Linked DNA regions of Lepisosteus oculatus. The protein of the gene in region 1 interacts with the protein of each later gene in a pairwise test. Links are inferred from orthologs where the notes say so. Each region holds a gene or a part of one and is shown in the gene's direction. Other genes may lie near its edges.

Evidence for each region. The genes of interacting proteins can lie anywhere in the genome.
Region 2: the proteins of pomp (region 1) and psmb8a interact in a two-hybrid assay, tested with the Homo sapiens proteins (2 studies listed by BioGRID). The link is inferred for Lepisosteus oculatus from reciprocal best matches to the Homo sapiens genes POMP and PSMB8.

Annotation. Positions count from the first base shown.
Region 1 is NC_090700.1:1,688,830-1,696,384, reverse strand, and holds pomp (proteasome maturation protein), read left to right. Parts: upstream 1-4,544; 5' UTR 4,545-4,649; coding exon 4,650-4,652; intron 4,653-5,490; coding exon 5,491-5,591; intron 5,592-6,012; coding exon 6,013-6,073; intron 6,074-6,353; coding exon 6,354-6,455; intron 6,456-6,714; coding exon 6,715-6,808; intron 6,809-7,044; coding exon 7,045-7,112; 3' UTR 7,113-7,269; downstream 7,270-7,555. Other genes in the region: c5h11orf65 (protein MFI), read left to right, coding at 394-606, 1,153-1,286, 1,459-1,629, 2,204-2,259, 3,319-3,521. UniProt on the Homo sapiens protein: Molecular chaperone essential for the assembly of standard proteasomes and immunoproteasomes. Degraded after completion of proteasome maturation. Mediates the association of 20S preproteasome with the endoplasmic reticulum.
Region 2 is NC_090709.1:38,622,676-38,630,242, reverse strand, and holds the start of psmb8a (proteasome subunit beta type-8), read left to right. Parts: upstream 1-4,546; 5' UTR 4,547-4,909; coding exon 4,910-5,056; intron 5,057-7,567. Other genes in the region: psmb13a (proteasome 20S subunit beta 13a), read left to right, coding at 1-141, 970-1,085, 1,419-1,477, 1,818-1,969, 2,989-3,100. UniProt on the Homo sapiens protein: The proteasome is a multicatalytic proteinase complex which is characterized by its ability to cleave peptides with Arg, Phe, Tyr, Leu, and Glu adjacent to the leaving group at neutral or slightly basic pH.

The DNA of each region.
Region 1 (7,555 bases):
ATCACTATACTGGGGCATTAGGACCCACACAGACTGCAGGGTGAGCGCCCCCTTCTGGCCCCACTAACACCTCTTCTAGCAGCAACCTTAGCTTTCCCAGGAGTCTCCCATCCAGGTACTGGCCAGGCTCACACTGCTGAGCTCCTGTGAGCTGCCAGTGGTGAGTTGCAGGGTGATATGGCTGCTGGCCAGTTTCTGACCAGTTTCTGGCCATTATAACAGCACACTTAGAACTCCTTGTCTATAAAAATAAAATGTTTGCTTTAGTCTTTATTTGTGGCAAGGTTTCACTGTGACCTCTAACAGTTCGACCCCTCACACTTTCAGATGAATGCAAAACGTGGGGTTGCTGTTCTTTTGTGTTCAGGATTCGTTTTTTACCCCCCTTTTCAGACAAAATTTCCTCCAAGCATCTACTACAAGATATTCACGCACCGCCCGATAGTGGACATGTGCGCCAACAGCCCCAAGGACTACACCTGCCCCGCAGCCAGGCGGCCCCTGCCGGGGCAAATCCACAACCGCGGGCGGGCTGCGGGGCAGGAGGACCGCTCGGGCTGGTACCGGCGGGAGGAGAACAACGGCTGGAGGCTCCTCTCGGGCAAGGTGCGGCGGGGCCCTCCCGCGGGGCCGCACTGCTGAGCCAGGCCTGCGGGGGGCGCTCTCCCCCTGCGCCTGCGTCCACCCGGCCACGCGCCCGCTCACGGGCCGTTCAGAGACCAGAGCACCTGGCGGACATGTAAACCACACCCAAGGGGCCAAAATTCATCCCTGAACTCAAGACCCCCTCTTCTCTTCGTATTAGTCTGCTAGAGTGCGCTACATCATGGTCCTCATTAGTGTGATTACTGAATTTGCACTTTGTATAGATCCAGGCACATATTTGTCCACTGCATGGGACATGACATTCTCGGCAAAAACAAGAATAACAGAATCTGGAAATACTCAGAGCAGGTCCTATTATTGTATACACTTGCAAAGGAATAACCCCTTTTTTTCTGTGAAGTTCCGACCACTTATTAATCCCTTCGATCGATTTTGGTTTTTTGCTTGTTTCTTTGTTCAAAAATGAAGTTGCGTTATGTAACTTATTTCCTTTTTCACGAAGGTGTGATACGCTGCTCTTGTGTTTCTGTCCGTTGCTGTTATAAGATTTGGTTAATGGGCGACCCCGTAACACTGGACTCTGCCGCGAAGAAAACGGAATTCCATTACTCCAGGATCCAGAGGCGCCAGGAAGTAGGGAGAAGGAGGAAGCAGAGGAAAATTGACTGGATGAAAAAGATGTGAGTTTATTATTGACTAGGTCAAATTCAGGGGGTGAGTTTTATTACTCCCCAGGTGCCAGGAGTAAACCTTGCCGTGGCTCCACATAAACATTCTAGAGGTTTGAGAAATTGCCCTGCATTAGCAGAAGGCGCTGCTGGCTGATGAGTGGCATCTGTGTGCACTGCCCAGGTATGAAGACGGCCTCCTGCAGGCCCGCACAGAGGACCCTGACGCGGCTCTGCTCGTGGACAAGGCCGCAGAGGGCATGATGGCGGCGGTGGATCAGCTGGGGCCCAGCCACGTGCTGGAGTGGGAAGTGGACGAGCTGCTGGAGTGGACCAACTCCCTCAACTTCGAAGAGTGAGTCGCCGCCGTGCAGACGCACAGGCCCGCCTCCCTGGCGGTCAGGTCAGCCGTATTGTCAAGTGTCCTGCCCTCGTGTGCTGCCACAGAAGGTCCTGGTACATGTCAGTCAAAATGCCAGTTTAGTGCTGCAATTACATGAATATATCAAATCAAGTCAGTTCCAAGTCCCACCCCTTTTCCCAATTTGAACACAAGAAACTCTCTTGCTGTACGGATTTGAAGCATATCAAACAGCACTCCTGCGTCGCTTGATTAAATATAATTATATTATGATATAAATCTATTATATATATTTCAAACATGCTCTATGCGAACCACCTTTGCCTTTCTCTCTACATCTCTGTCTCCTTTTCTTTCTCTGTCATATACACACAATCGACTTTCAGTAGAAACGTCTTGCTCTTTTGAACACTTAGAGTTAAACATGGACCACATGTTTTGGAATACCTGCTGAAAAGCAGCAGTAGAATGTACAGTATTTATAAATGCAATGGAAGTGTTGTACTAAATTAATGAGACCCATGGGAAAAACTTTGCTCTTAGTTTAGTCTTCTTTTCTGTATTTCAGGTACATGAATGGATGGAAGGAAACAGCAATGAGTGGTTTTTCAGAGTCCTATAAAGGTAAAAAAGAGAACTTATGATGAAGAAGATTACTGGAGAAAAATACCCGTGTGCACTGACACACACAATGATAGACATGAAAAACACACATTCCTGATAACATACTTCTGAGTTTTAGATAGTGTAGAATAAAGTTTACCAGATTTGTAATTACTTGTCTTTCTCCTTTTTGTGATTAAACATTTGGAAGGATTACTACACTGGTGGTTGTCTCCCATGCTGGAAACTAGTTGTTAAACATTATTTTTATATAATATATTATATGTATATATTATTTTTATATGATTGTTGTATGATCATTTGACCATTATTGTGTTTTACAAACACAAGACTTTGGAAAGCTATCATTTGGGAGTTCAGTTTCTTCTCGTTCAAAACTATTTCTGTTCTTTTCAAGTCATAATTTTTTAATGTTTGAAGACCAAATATTGAACTCAAACACTTTCTTTCTATAACAACAATTTATAGTTTTAATTAATTTAGAAAACTGAAGATTTAGAACTTTAGAAAACTGATGTGATACAATGAGAAGAAAGCAGACTGCAGACTGAATTCAGTGTCTAGTACTCTGTATAAGTACTGTAGTTAAAATTAAAGTCCATCCCAGAGACACATCAGCTCCTCGGGATAAAGTTCATCCTGGTTTCTGCAGCATTAAGCAGACTAGCGAGCATGTGACTCCCCTTGCAGGGGATGCCAGTCCATCACAGGGAGCGTCCTGCATGCTGCTCCCCACATAATACATGTTGGACTGAATAATACATAATAAATTGAGTTGGACTGAAGCAGCCGGGGTAAAGAACCTCTATCTGGGGCAGGGGCTGAGTCCGGGGGGTAACCCACTACGATTTGCCACCCCTGTCAAATTCAAAAGAAATACTTTAAATAAATCACTTGTCAGAGCTGCGGTGAGAAAGCTCTGCTTTGTAGTTGAAACCACATGGAGTTCTAAGCAAAAGACATTTTCCGTGCAGGACTGCGTGGGAGTTGCTATGTTATGCTGTGTTACAGCCCTTTCTGCTGCCAGCGCTTTGACACGGTGGCCTGTCTCTGTTACAGGTTCGAGGCTCGTCGTCTCCCAGCACGACCAGTGCGAGTTCACGCGGTTCTCCCGGGAGGGCAGTCAGGCAGCCGCCGACTGCAGCGCCCTCACCTGTCACGTCTCCAGCCAGTACCAGTCTTACAGCACCCCCCTGCTCTCCAGGGCTAGCATGGCAGAGCACGGCTCCCACAGCAGACAGATAAAGCAGCTGCCACTTTAGACAGACAGGAGTGGAGTGTCCAGTGTGCACCGAAGTACAGCGCTCTCCCGTTAGGAGGCCATGACAGCTTTCCCCTGCTTACTCATGTTTCGGTTCGTGCCAGAAAACTGATGGTGTTCTGATGGTGAAAACTGAAGGGCTCTGGCTCTTCATCAGGGTAAATATTTAACGTGATTAATCTGTTCCTTCAGGGTACTATTTTCAACAAGATATATCAATGGTAACGAAGGTCTGAAAATGTAGTACACGTTCATATGACCTGTCCCTGTTTTAAATGAAAATTATTTTCCCCCATGTTTGAATTCTCAATATTTTACACGCGTTGCCCCAAGACACTGTCATTTTCCATGCTGATTCCTAATAAAGCTGTATGTGGAGCTTTTTTGTGTCTTATGTCTGTGGATCCTCTGTTTCACTGAGGCCGGCTGACTCTAGGGTCTGTTTCTCAGTAAACTAGACGTACATCAAGGCATCAGCAGTCTGCAGCCTGCTCCCTGGCACCTCCAGAATGAGTAAGAACTGGGAACACCCCTGTGCTCTGTGCTGGATGCTGAGATGTGTCAAATGTATGAGTCAGTGCTAGTATTATATGGGTGTCGTCCTAAACTAGAATAAAAAACTGGATTGACAGTACACAGTTGTGTTTATACAGGTTCATGTAAAACCAAAAAAGCACTTCAATTATGATCCCTTCTATTTTAATAATAATAATAATAATAATAATGTAAAAAGATGGTGTTTTTGAATTTTACACAAAAAAAAGAGGGGGCACCCGGATTTGAACCGGGGACCTCTTGATCTGCAGTCAAATGCTCTACCACTGAGCTATACCCCCTGTCTGCGAAACGCCTGCCGATGGCCTATACAAATCAACTGTGTGTATCGCCGTTTTCTAATGTAATTTTAAAAATTGTAATATTAGAACTATGTGTTGCCCGCAAGTACTTAATGAAAGCAAAGTTAAACTTAATTGTTTCTAAGCTGATAGATGAAGATTTCTATCTTCGTTTCGGACTTTTCAGAGCTGCCATCAGCGGAAGCATCGTCATTTGTCACGTGTGAGGGGTACCGGTGAGCCGGAAGTACTCGGTGTGGGGTCATTAGGAAGAAAGAAGCCGCCGGATCAGTATGGTGAGATGAGTTTTTATTTAAAAATCTCTTGTTATAGGGAACGTGTGATTTACATGTTGCTCTTAAGCCAAGATACTTTTAACGGATTTTGTCAGCGTTACACTGAAGCTGACGTGATTGTACAAGAGGTTCATTTAGCTGAGTTTTGATTAGTCACTGCTCTCCGCGAGTTCAGTTGTTCACGTCAAAATATGTCTCGGGCCTTGTTTATTCCCGTGCGTTGCTGAATTAACAGGCACTAATGTGGTATCTACTCATCAGTCTTAAAGATTTGTTGGTTACCAACGTGACAATCAAGCGTACTTTGTGAATACACGGAGCGACGCGAAACTGAAAGTGCTCTGGTCCTGATTTGCAGTATCATTGCTCTTGGGACACTGGTTATCCGACTGTCGCGGTAAAATGCCCAAATCCTGTCGGTGATCTTGACTCCCTGCAGGAGTCACTTTAACCCTGGGGTCGCTCTGGAGTGGTGAGGTTACTGTCCATCACCCGGGCGGGTGAACTGAGTCCTCTCATTCCTACACAACAAGTACATGGGATGAATAGGGTCATTGTTCATCATTACTGTCACATCACAGGCTTTCACACTGGGAGAGTTCTGGACAGGTATATAAATTCAAGGATTTATTAATAATTGGATTTGGGGTGAAATGCATTGCTTACACACCTGAGCGGTCTCTGAGATTCTCCATTTGAGAACCATTGTGATCAAGGTCAGTCTGCGGTTGATCTTTTAACGGGCGATGTCGTGTTGTGGGACAGTAGACTAAGCTGCCCCACAGTTCTTTGACAGTCCCTGCCAAGCGCTGCTCATGGGGGCACTGCTGTATTTCAGAATACTAGAGGTCTTCGATCACAGCTGAAGGACAGCATCCCCGTCACAGGGCTGTGTCCGCAGTCGGGAACCTATGGCGTACCTGACACACTGCGCAAGGGGTGAGTGACCGCTCCGTATCTCACTCGCGGTCTGGATCTTCGTGGTTCCTCTCTCAGACTCAGACCGACATGTCCCTTCCTTCCCATCGCTGGATTTGACTTCTTCATGAACGGGAAAAACATTCTTGCTTGTTCTTTTTAAAATGAAACCCATCCCATCATGGTCTGAAGAAAGAGCCTGTTGACTGCCCCACGAGTCGTTAATTGTGACTGCAGCTTTACAGGATAAAAATGTGAGCTGTTTCTTATGGCGTAGAATCAGTACTTCATTTATTTTTGAGGAGGAACTTTAATTAATTGGATTACGTCATTACAGAGCTAGGCCATAACATGTATGAATAAACTAGAAGTTGCAACGGTGTTTTTAGCAAATAGATTTTGATAGAGTCTGAAGTTTTCTGTCCTTGTCACTGGCTTTCAGCTTCTCCAGCGTGAAGAACGAACTCCTGCCCTCCCACCCCCTGGAGCTCTCCGAGAAGAACGTAAGTGTTTCAGCTGGTATGTGCACTGGTAACCGAGAAGTTTTACATTTAAGCACCATTTTACTGAAGTTGATTCTTAAAGTGGATGGCAGACCGATAATATAAAATATATATAATCATATTTTGTCAGCTTTACAATCCTGATTTAGCCCTTGGTGCTTTTCCTAAAATAGCCATAGTTCCCGTGTCTTTCGGGTTGTCATGTTGTAATAAACTACAGCTCTATGAAGTGCTACTATGTCAGACATTGCATTTAACATCGCTGCTTCGTTTCTGCTAGTTTCAGCTCAATCAAGACAAGATGAACTTTGCCACGCTCAGGAACATTCAGGGACTTCATGCACCTCTGAAACTGCAGATGGAGTACAAGGCAGCAAAACAGGTACCCTCTCACCAGCTGTCTTGAAGGGGGGTATGTTTTAGAACACATATGTTTAAGAAGCTCAGTCCAAAATTCACTTGGTTAAGTTAATAACCATACTAAAGGTGAACATCAGAATCTGCCTTTGCAAAATGTCATCCTTTGAAGTCAAGTGGAGATTAGTGATAAATGACATTATGCTTTTTTTTCTGTCACACTTTCAAAAGCTGTTTGTATCTATTGTACCCATAACAATATCCTGCATGCTGTGCTTTTCCAGATACAGCGTTTGCCCTTCCTTCAGAGTTCAAACATTGCACTAGATACTCTCAGAGGAAATGACGAGTACGTTGGTTTTGAGGACATATTGAACGGTAAGTATTCAGAACTCCCTACAGCAGTTTGAAGGATGGCGTTGGGTCATTAAACATTAACAGTTCCTGGAAGCTGAACCCCCATTTTACTCCAGGCAATGTTTCCTTTTTTCTGTAAACAGAAACCACCAGGGGTACACAGGGGACCATTGTGTGTGGACAGCTGGGCTTAGATTGATATTGAGAATCACTCTCCAACGGCTTTTATTTCAACTTGGTGTTTTTTTTATTCGCAGATCCAGCACAAAGTGAAGTCATGGGGGAGCCCCATGTCATGGTGGAATACAAAACGGGTTTGCTGTAAAAAAATTCACGTTACTCTGTGTGATTGTTTGACATAAGACAAATGTGCTTCTTTTTGCTATATTCTAACCATACAGGACAAAGTATTTTGCATGGTTAGAATCAAATTATCGTTTAAAGATTTCTAATAAAGCTTTGTTTGCTCTCTTTATTTAGTATTTTGGGTGTCAGACTTTGATTTCATTAACAGTATGCTTTTTTCAGTTAAAATGATCATGGACGTAAGGCTGTGCCACTTGTATAGCATGTTGGTATTGTCTGGTGAAAGATAGTATATAAAGGCATGAGTTGAACTTACCTCTGCAATGTTTAATACCAGTTTGGATGCCTTCAGGATTTCTGCCAAATACTTAATGTTGTTAAATCTAAAGCACATTAAACCTTTGAATACGTTTGTTTCCATGAACACACAAGGAAGACAAAACAGTGAAAAGATTTCTTTAA
Region 2 (7,567 bases), on another chromosome or scaffold:
CTGCTGCGGCGCCGGGACGGCGGCAGACACCGAGAAGACCACCGAGCTGCTGTCCTCCAACCTGTCCATCTTCTCCCTGAACAGCGGGCGCAACCCCAGGGTCGTCATGGCCACCAGCATCCTGCAGGACATGCTCTTCAGGTCAGTGTGTGTGTGTGTGTGTGTGTGTGTGAACCCCAGGGTCGTCATGGCCACCAGCATCCTGCAGGACATGCTCTTCAGGTCAGTGTGTGTGTGTGTGTGTGTGTGTGAACCCCAGGGTGGTCATGGCCACCAGCATCCTGCAGGACATGCTCTTCAGGTCAGTGTGTGTGTGTGTGTGTTTGTGTGTGTGTTCATGTGTGTGTGTGTGTGTGTGAACCCCAGGGTGGTCATGGCCACCAGCATCCTGCAGGACATGCTCTTCAGGTCAGTGTGTGTGTGTGTGTGTGTGTGTGAACCCCAGGGTGGTCATGGCCACCAGCATCCTGCAGGACATGCTCTTCAGGTCAGTGTGTGTGTGTGTGTGTGTGAGTGTGTGTGTGTGTGAAGCCCAGAGTCGTCATGGCCACCAGCATCCTGCAGGACATGCTCTTCAGGTCAGTGTGTGTGTGTGTGTGAGTGTGTGTGTGTGAAGCCCAGGGTCGTCATGGCCACCAGCATCCTGCAGGACATGCTCTTCAGGTCAGTGTGTGTGTGTGTGTGTGTGTGTGAACCCCAGGGTGGTCATGGCCACCAGCATCCTGCAGGACATGCTCTTCAGGTCAGTGTGTGTGTGTGTGTGTGTGTGAACCCCAGGGTGGTCATGGCCACCAGCATCCTGCAGGACATGCTCTTCAGGTCAGTGTGTGTGTGTGTGTGTGAACCCCAGGGTGGTCATGGCCACCAGCATCCTGCAGGACATGCTCTTCAGGTCAGTGTGTGTGTGTGTGTGAAGCCCAGGGTGACTCAGGGTGGACGATCTGAGTCAGGGTGTGTCTGTGTGTCCAGGTACCGCGGTCAGATCGGGGCGTACCTGCTGCTGGGCGGAGTGGACGTCACTGGAGCTCACCTGTACACAGTGGGGCCGTACGGGAGTGTCGACAACATGCCCTTCAAGGCCATGGGTGAGCATCCGGTCAGCCGGCTCTGTGTGCGTGCGTGTGTGTGTGTGTGTGCGTACCTGCAGGACTCCTCCTGACTCGGACTCAGCTGTGCTGCAGTGATGAACGAGGCCCAGAGGGTGACAGGGAGAACTGACCGCTTCTGATAGACTGACCACTCCTGACCGACTGACTGACCGCCCCAGTCTGACTGACTGACCACCCCAGACTGACTGACCGCTCCTGACTGACTGACTGACTGACTGACTGACTGCCTGCCCCAGACTGACTGACCGCTCCTGACTGACTGACTGACTGACCGCCCCAGGCCGACTGACCGCTCGGTGCTGTCCACAGGCTCGGGGGACCTGCCCGCGATGGGGGTGCTGGAGGACGGCTTCAGGACCGACATGGAGGTGAGTTTGAGGACGAGTCCACCCCCAGCCTACAGTCCAGCCCAGTGAGAGCAGGGTAAAAACACAGTCCAGCTCAGTGAGATCAGAGTAAAAACACAGTCCAGCGCAGTAAAGCCCAGTGAGAGCAGGGTAAAAACACAGTACAGTGCAGTAGAGCCCAGTGAGATCAGGGTAAAAACACAGTACAGCCCGGAGAAATCAGGGTAAAAACAATGTACAGCGCAGAACAGCCCAGTGAGATCAGGGTAAAAACCCAGTACAGCCCAGTACAGCCCAGTGAGATCAGATGCAGATGGAGGTCAGACGTGTCGGCCGTCAGTAAGACTGCTGCTCTCTGCAGCTGGACGATGCCAAGCGCCTGGTCAGAGACGCCGTCCACGCAGGGGTCATGAGTGACCTGGGCTCGGGCAGCAACATCGACCTGTGTGTCATCACCCGGGCAGGAGTGGAGTACCTGCGGCCCTACGAGGAGTCCCAGTACAAGGACACCAGGTACTGGCTCAGAGCAGTGTCTGTATGAACCCCTCTCTCTCTCAGTGTGTCTGTGTGAACCCCTCTCTCTCTCAGTGTGTCTGTGTGAACCCCTCTCTCTCTCAGTGCAGTGTTCATGTACTGGAGTGTCCAGTCAGTGTGTGTGTATGAACCCCTCTCTCTCTCAGTGCAGTGTTCATGTACTGGAGTGTCCAGTCAGTGTGTCTGTATGAACCCCTCTCTCTCTCAGTGCAGTGTTCATGTACTGGAGTGTCCAGTCAGTGTGTGTGTATGAACCCCTCTCTCTCTCAGTGCAGTGTTCATGTACTGGAGTGTCCAGTCAGTGTGTGTGTATGAACCCCTCTCTCTCTCAGTGCAGTGTTCATGTACTGGAGTGTCCAGTCAGTGTGTCTGTATGAACCCCTCTCTCTCTCAGTGCAGTGTTCATGTACTGGAGTGTCCAGTCAGTGTGTGTGTATGAACCCCTCTCTCTCTCAGTGCAGTGTTCATGTACTGGAGTGTCCAGTCAGTGTGTCTGTATGAACCCCTCTCTCTCTCAGTGCAGTGTTCATGTACTGGAGTGTCCAGTCAGGGTGTGTGTATGAACCCCTCTCTCTCTCAGTGCAGTGTTCATGTACTGGAGTGTCCAGTCAGTGTGTCTGTGTGAACCCCTCTCTCTCTCAGTGCAGTGTTCATGTACTGGAGTGTCCAGTCAGTGTGTCTGTATGAACCCCTCTCTCTCTCAGTGAGTGTTAATGTACTGGAGTGTCCAGTCAGTGTGTCTGTATGAACCCCTCTCTCTCTCAGTGCAGTGTTCATGTACTGGAGTGTCCAGTCAGTGTGTGTGTATGAACCCCTCTCTCTCTCAGTGCAGTGTTCATGTACTGGAGTGTCCAGTCAGTGTGTCTGTGTGAACCCCTCTCTCTCTCAGTGCAGTGTTCATGTACTGGAGTGTCCAGTCAGTGTGTGTGTATGAACCCCTCTCTCTCTCAGTGCAGTGTCAGTGTACTGGAGTGTATTAACCCGTCTCTCTCTCTCAGACAGAGGAAGTATAAGTACTGTCCTGGGACGACTCCGGTTCTCCGTGAGACAGTTTCTCCTCTGGAGATGGAGCTGGTCCAGGAGACAGTGCAGCTCATGGACACACACTGAGCAACACGACAACCCAGCAACACAGCAGCAGAACAGTGTCACAATCGCACAACAGCACGGGACTTCCACAGCGACACAACAGAACAGGTTACACAGTCACTCTCCAGACGTGTGTGTGAAACAGCCCTGGGGTGTGTCTGTGAGCAGAGCAGGGCGACACTGTTGTATTTGTGTGTCTTCAGAATGAACCACTGTTTACTGTATACCTGTGATTCCTGGTTAATAAAGACTCAGTTCTGAACTACCCCCAGCTGTGTTACTCTGTGTGTAGAGTCACTGTGCCTGACTGCGTTACTCTGTGTGTGGAGTCACTGTGTCTGACTGTGTTACTCTGTGTGTAGTATTACTGTGTTACTCTGTGTGTGGAATCACTGTGTCTGATGCGTTACTCTGTGTGTGGAGTCACTGTGTCTGACTGCGTTACTCTTTGTGTGGAGTCACTGTGTCTGACTGTGTTACTCTGTGTGTAGTATTACTGTGTTACTCTGTGTGTGGAGTCACTGTGTCTGACTGCGTTACTCTGTGTGGAGTCACTGTGTCTGACTGTGTTACTCTGTGTGTGGAGTCACTGTGTCTGACTGTGTTACTCCGTGTGTGGAGTCACTGTGTCTGAATGCGTTACTCTGTGTGTAGAGTCACTGTGTCTGACTGCGTTACTCTGTGTGTAGTATTACTGTGTTACTCTGTGTGGAGTCGCTGTGTCTGACTGCGTTACTCTGTGTGTGGAGTCACTGTGTCTGACTGCGTTACTCTGTGTGTAGAGTCACTGTGTCTGACTGCGTTACTCTGTGTGTAGTATTACTGTATTACTCTGTGTGGAGTCGCTGTGTCTGACTGTGTTACTCTGTGTGTGGAGTCACTGTGTCTGACTGTGTTAGTCTGTGTGTAGTATTACTGTGTTACTCTGTGTGTGGAGTCACTGTGTCTGACTGCGTTACTCCGTGTGTGGAGTCACTGTGTCTGACTGCGTTACTCCGTGTGTGGTATTACTGCGTTACTCTGTGTGTGGAGTCACTGTGTCTGACTGTGTTACTCTGTGTGTGGAGTCACTGTGTCTGACTGTGTTACTCCGTGTGTGGTATTACTGTGTTACTCTGTGTGTGGAGTCACTGTGTCTGACTGTGTTACTCCGTGTGTGGTATTACTGTGTTACTCTGTGTGTAGAGTCACTGTGTCACGAGGTTACTGTGCCTCTGTAACCTGTCCCAGTACCCTGTCAGGGTCAACCGGTCCTGTAAGCTGTCCCAGTACCCTGTCGGTGTTTCCTTTCCCAGTAAGGTGTCCCAGCACCCCCTGCCGGTGTTTCCTGTCCCAGTAACCTGTCCCGCACGGTTCTGCCTGGCAGGCGGTGACGTGGCGCTGCTCGCTCTCCCCATTGGCCCGCCGGCCCCGGGGGGGCGGGGCCGCCCGCTCTGATTTCCCTGCGGCCGCCCGCTGCGCCCCCTGGCGGACAGCGCCGGAGCCCGGAGACTGGACCCCGGACCCGGAGCCCGCCGCTGTCCAGCGGCCTCCGCCGGACACGGCCCGCTCCCGCCCCGGACCGGGAGCTGGACCGCCGGTTCCGAGCGGAGCACGGGGCCCGCCAGTCTCGGCCTCGGCCCCCGCTCTGCAGTGGAAACCGAAACCAAAGGGTTCCGCCCCCGAACCGCTTTCGGTTTCGGTTCAGATCCAGGAAGCTGCTCGGAGACACGAGCTCGCTCCCCTCTCAGGCAGTCGGCCGTCCCGTATCCTCGCCGCTCGATCAAGCTGATCGATACCGGATCGATATTACCCGAACCGCCCGTCCCGAACCGTCCGTACACCCGAACTATGGCTTTAACCGACGTCTGCGGCTACAACTTCCGAGCCGGACTCGGAGAGCAGCTCTCCGGAACCGGCCGGGCTGCCTTGGACCGGACCAGCCACTACAGCTTCGGAACCGAGCGGCAGGAGTTCGCGGTGCCGCTGGGAGTGGACGTGAGTCGCAGCCGAACCGCCGAGCCGCCGAACCGGGCTGGCCCTCCCCCGGGTGCCGGGACGGAACCCGCGGCCCCGAGCGCGCCTCTCGGTTCGGACCCGTGTCCAGGTGAAACACGCGTGTTCCCGCACCCGTGGGGGTCTGGGGTCCGGCTTCCACGTGCGGTGTGGGGCGAGACCGGGGACACGCGGGCAGCGCATGCGCTCCAGCGGTGTTAATGAGGCTTTTCCCCCCAGAAAAACACATTAAACTCCCGGGGGCTGATCGCACAGATCAGCAGCTGATAACACCGCTGATGACTGACTGCTCTGCTGGCTGTTGACACTGCTGAGTGCTTCAGCCCTGTCACTCAAGAGCACCGAGTCTCTGCTCATACCAGTACAACTGCATCACTCTCACCCATTGCCCTGTACGGCAGTGAAGTGTGGGGTCCCCTCACAGACCAGGAGTACACCCAATGGGACAAACACCCCACAGAAACTCTGCACATGGAGATCTGTAGAATCATCCTCCGTGTGCAGAGAAAAACTCCTAACAACGGGTGCAGGGCCGAATTAGGCCAGTACCCACTATTGATAAACATACAGAAAAGAGTATTAAAGTATTGGCTACACCTAAAAAACAGCGACCAAAATTCCTACCACCACAAAGCCCTGCTGAGCCAAGAGCTGAGCCCAAAACAGAGCCCCCTGAGCCAGCTGGTCCTGAGGCTCACTGACCTGAGCCACACCGACACTAACCAGCCTCAGGACAGCACTGCTAGAGCACCACAACCCAGACTCACCACATCACAGCACAATACACACAACTCACAACCAGCCTCAGGACAGCACTGCTAGAGCACCACAACCCAGACTCAAGCCCATCACAGCACAATACACACAACACACAACCAGCCTCAGGACAGCACTGCTAGAGCACCACAACCCAGACTCAAGCCCATCACAGCACAATACACACAACACACAACCAGCCTCAGGACAGCACTGCTAGAGCACCACAACCCAGACTCAAGCCCATCACAGCACAATACACACAACACACAACCAGCCTCAGGACAGCACTGCTAGAGCACCACAACCCAGACTCAAGCCCATCACAGCACAATACACACAACACAAAACCAGCCTCAAGACAGCACTGCTAGAGCACCACAACCCAGACTCAAGCCCATCACAGCACAATACACACAACCAGCCTCAGGACAGCACTGCTAGAGCACCACAACCCAGACTCAAGCCCATCACAGCACAATACACACAACCAGCCTCAGGACAGCACTGCTAGAGCACCACAACCCAGACTCAAGCCCATCACAGCACAATACACACAACACACAACCAGCCTCAGGACAGCACTGCTAGAGCACCACAACCCAGACTCAACCACATCACAGCACAATACACACAACACACAACCAGCCTCAGGACAGCACTGCTAGAGCACCACAACCCAGACTCAACCACATCACAGCACAATACACACAACACACAACCAGCCTCAGGACAGCACTGCTAGAGCACCACAACCCAGACTCAAGCCCATCACAGCACAATACACACAACACACAACCAGCCTCAGGACAGCACTGCTAGAGCACCACAGCTCAGACTCAACCACATCACAGCACAGATCAAACAGCAATATCTCACACACTGGGACACACACACACAAACACAACATAAACTGGAATGCTACAGAACCTTAAACAGACAATACACACTAGCTGAATATTTGACCAAAATAAAAAACAACAAACAGAAACAGACCCCGACGAAGTACAGGCTCAGTGACCACAACCTGGCCATAGAAACTGGATACAGGCAAACCTGGCTGCCCAGAGAGGACAGGCTCAGTGACCACAGCCTGGACACACACACTGGACACAGGCAGACCTGGCTGCCCAGAGAGGACAGGCTCAGTGACCACAGCCTGGACACAGACACTGGATACAGGCAGACCTGGCTGCCCAGAGAGGACAGGCTCAGTGACCACAGCCTGGACACAGACACTGGACACAGGCAGACCTGGCTGCCCAGAGAGGACAGGCTGTGCTCCCACTGCCAGCGGGGAGAGATAGAGACAGAGGTGCACTTCCTACTGCACTGGGACAGATACTCTGGGATTAGAGAAACATTCTTCCTGAAATTCAGAAATCTAATCCCAGAGTTCCCACCCCTGCCAAAACCACAACAGGTCCCAATCCTACTGGGAGAGGGAGGAGGGAACTCAGTTGATCTGGCAGCCCAGTATGTGATCTCCTGTCACAGCCTGAGGACCAGTGAGTCTGTCTCCCAATAATGCTCCAGCCGCCTACAGTATATGTCAATATTTTATAATATGTCTTTGTTGTAAATGTCTGTAACATGTCTGTAGATTTTATTTTACTTCTATTTTTTGTTTTGTTCTATGTTAATTTTATTATTTTTATTTGCTTTGGCAACACTGATTGTACCCATCGGTCATGCTAATAAAGCACCTTGAATTGAACTGAATTGAATTGAGAGACC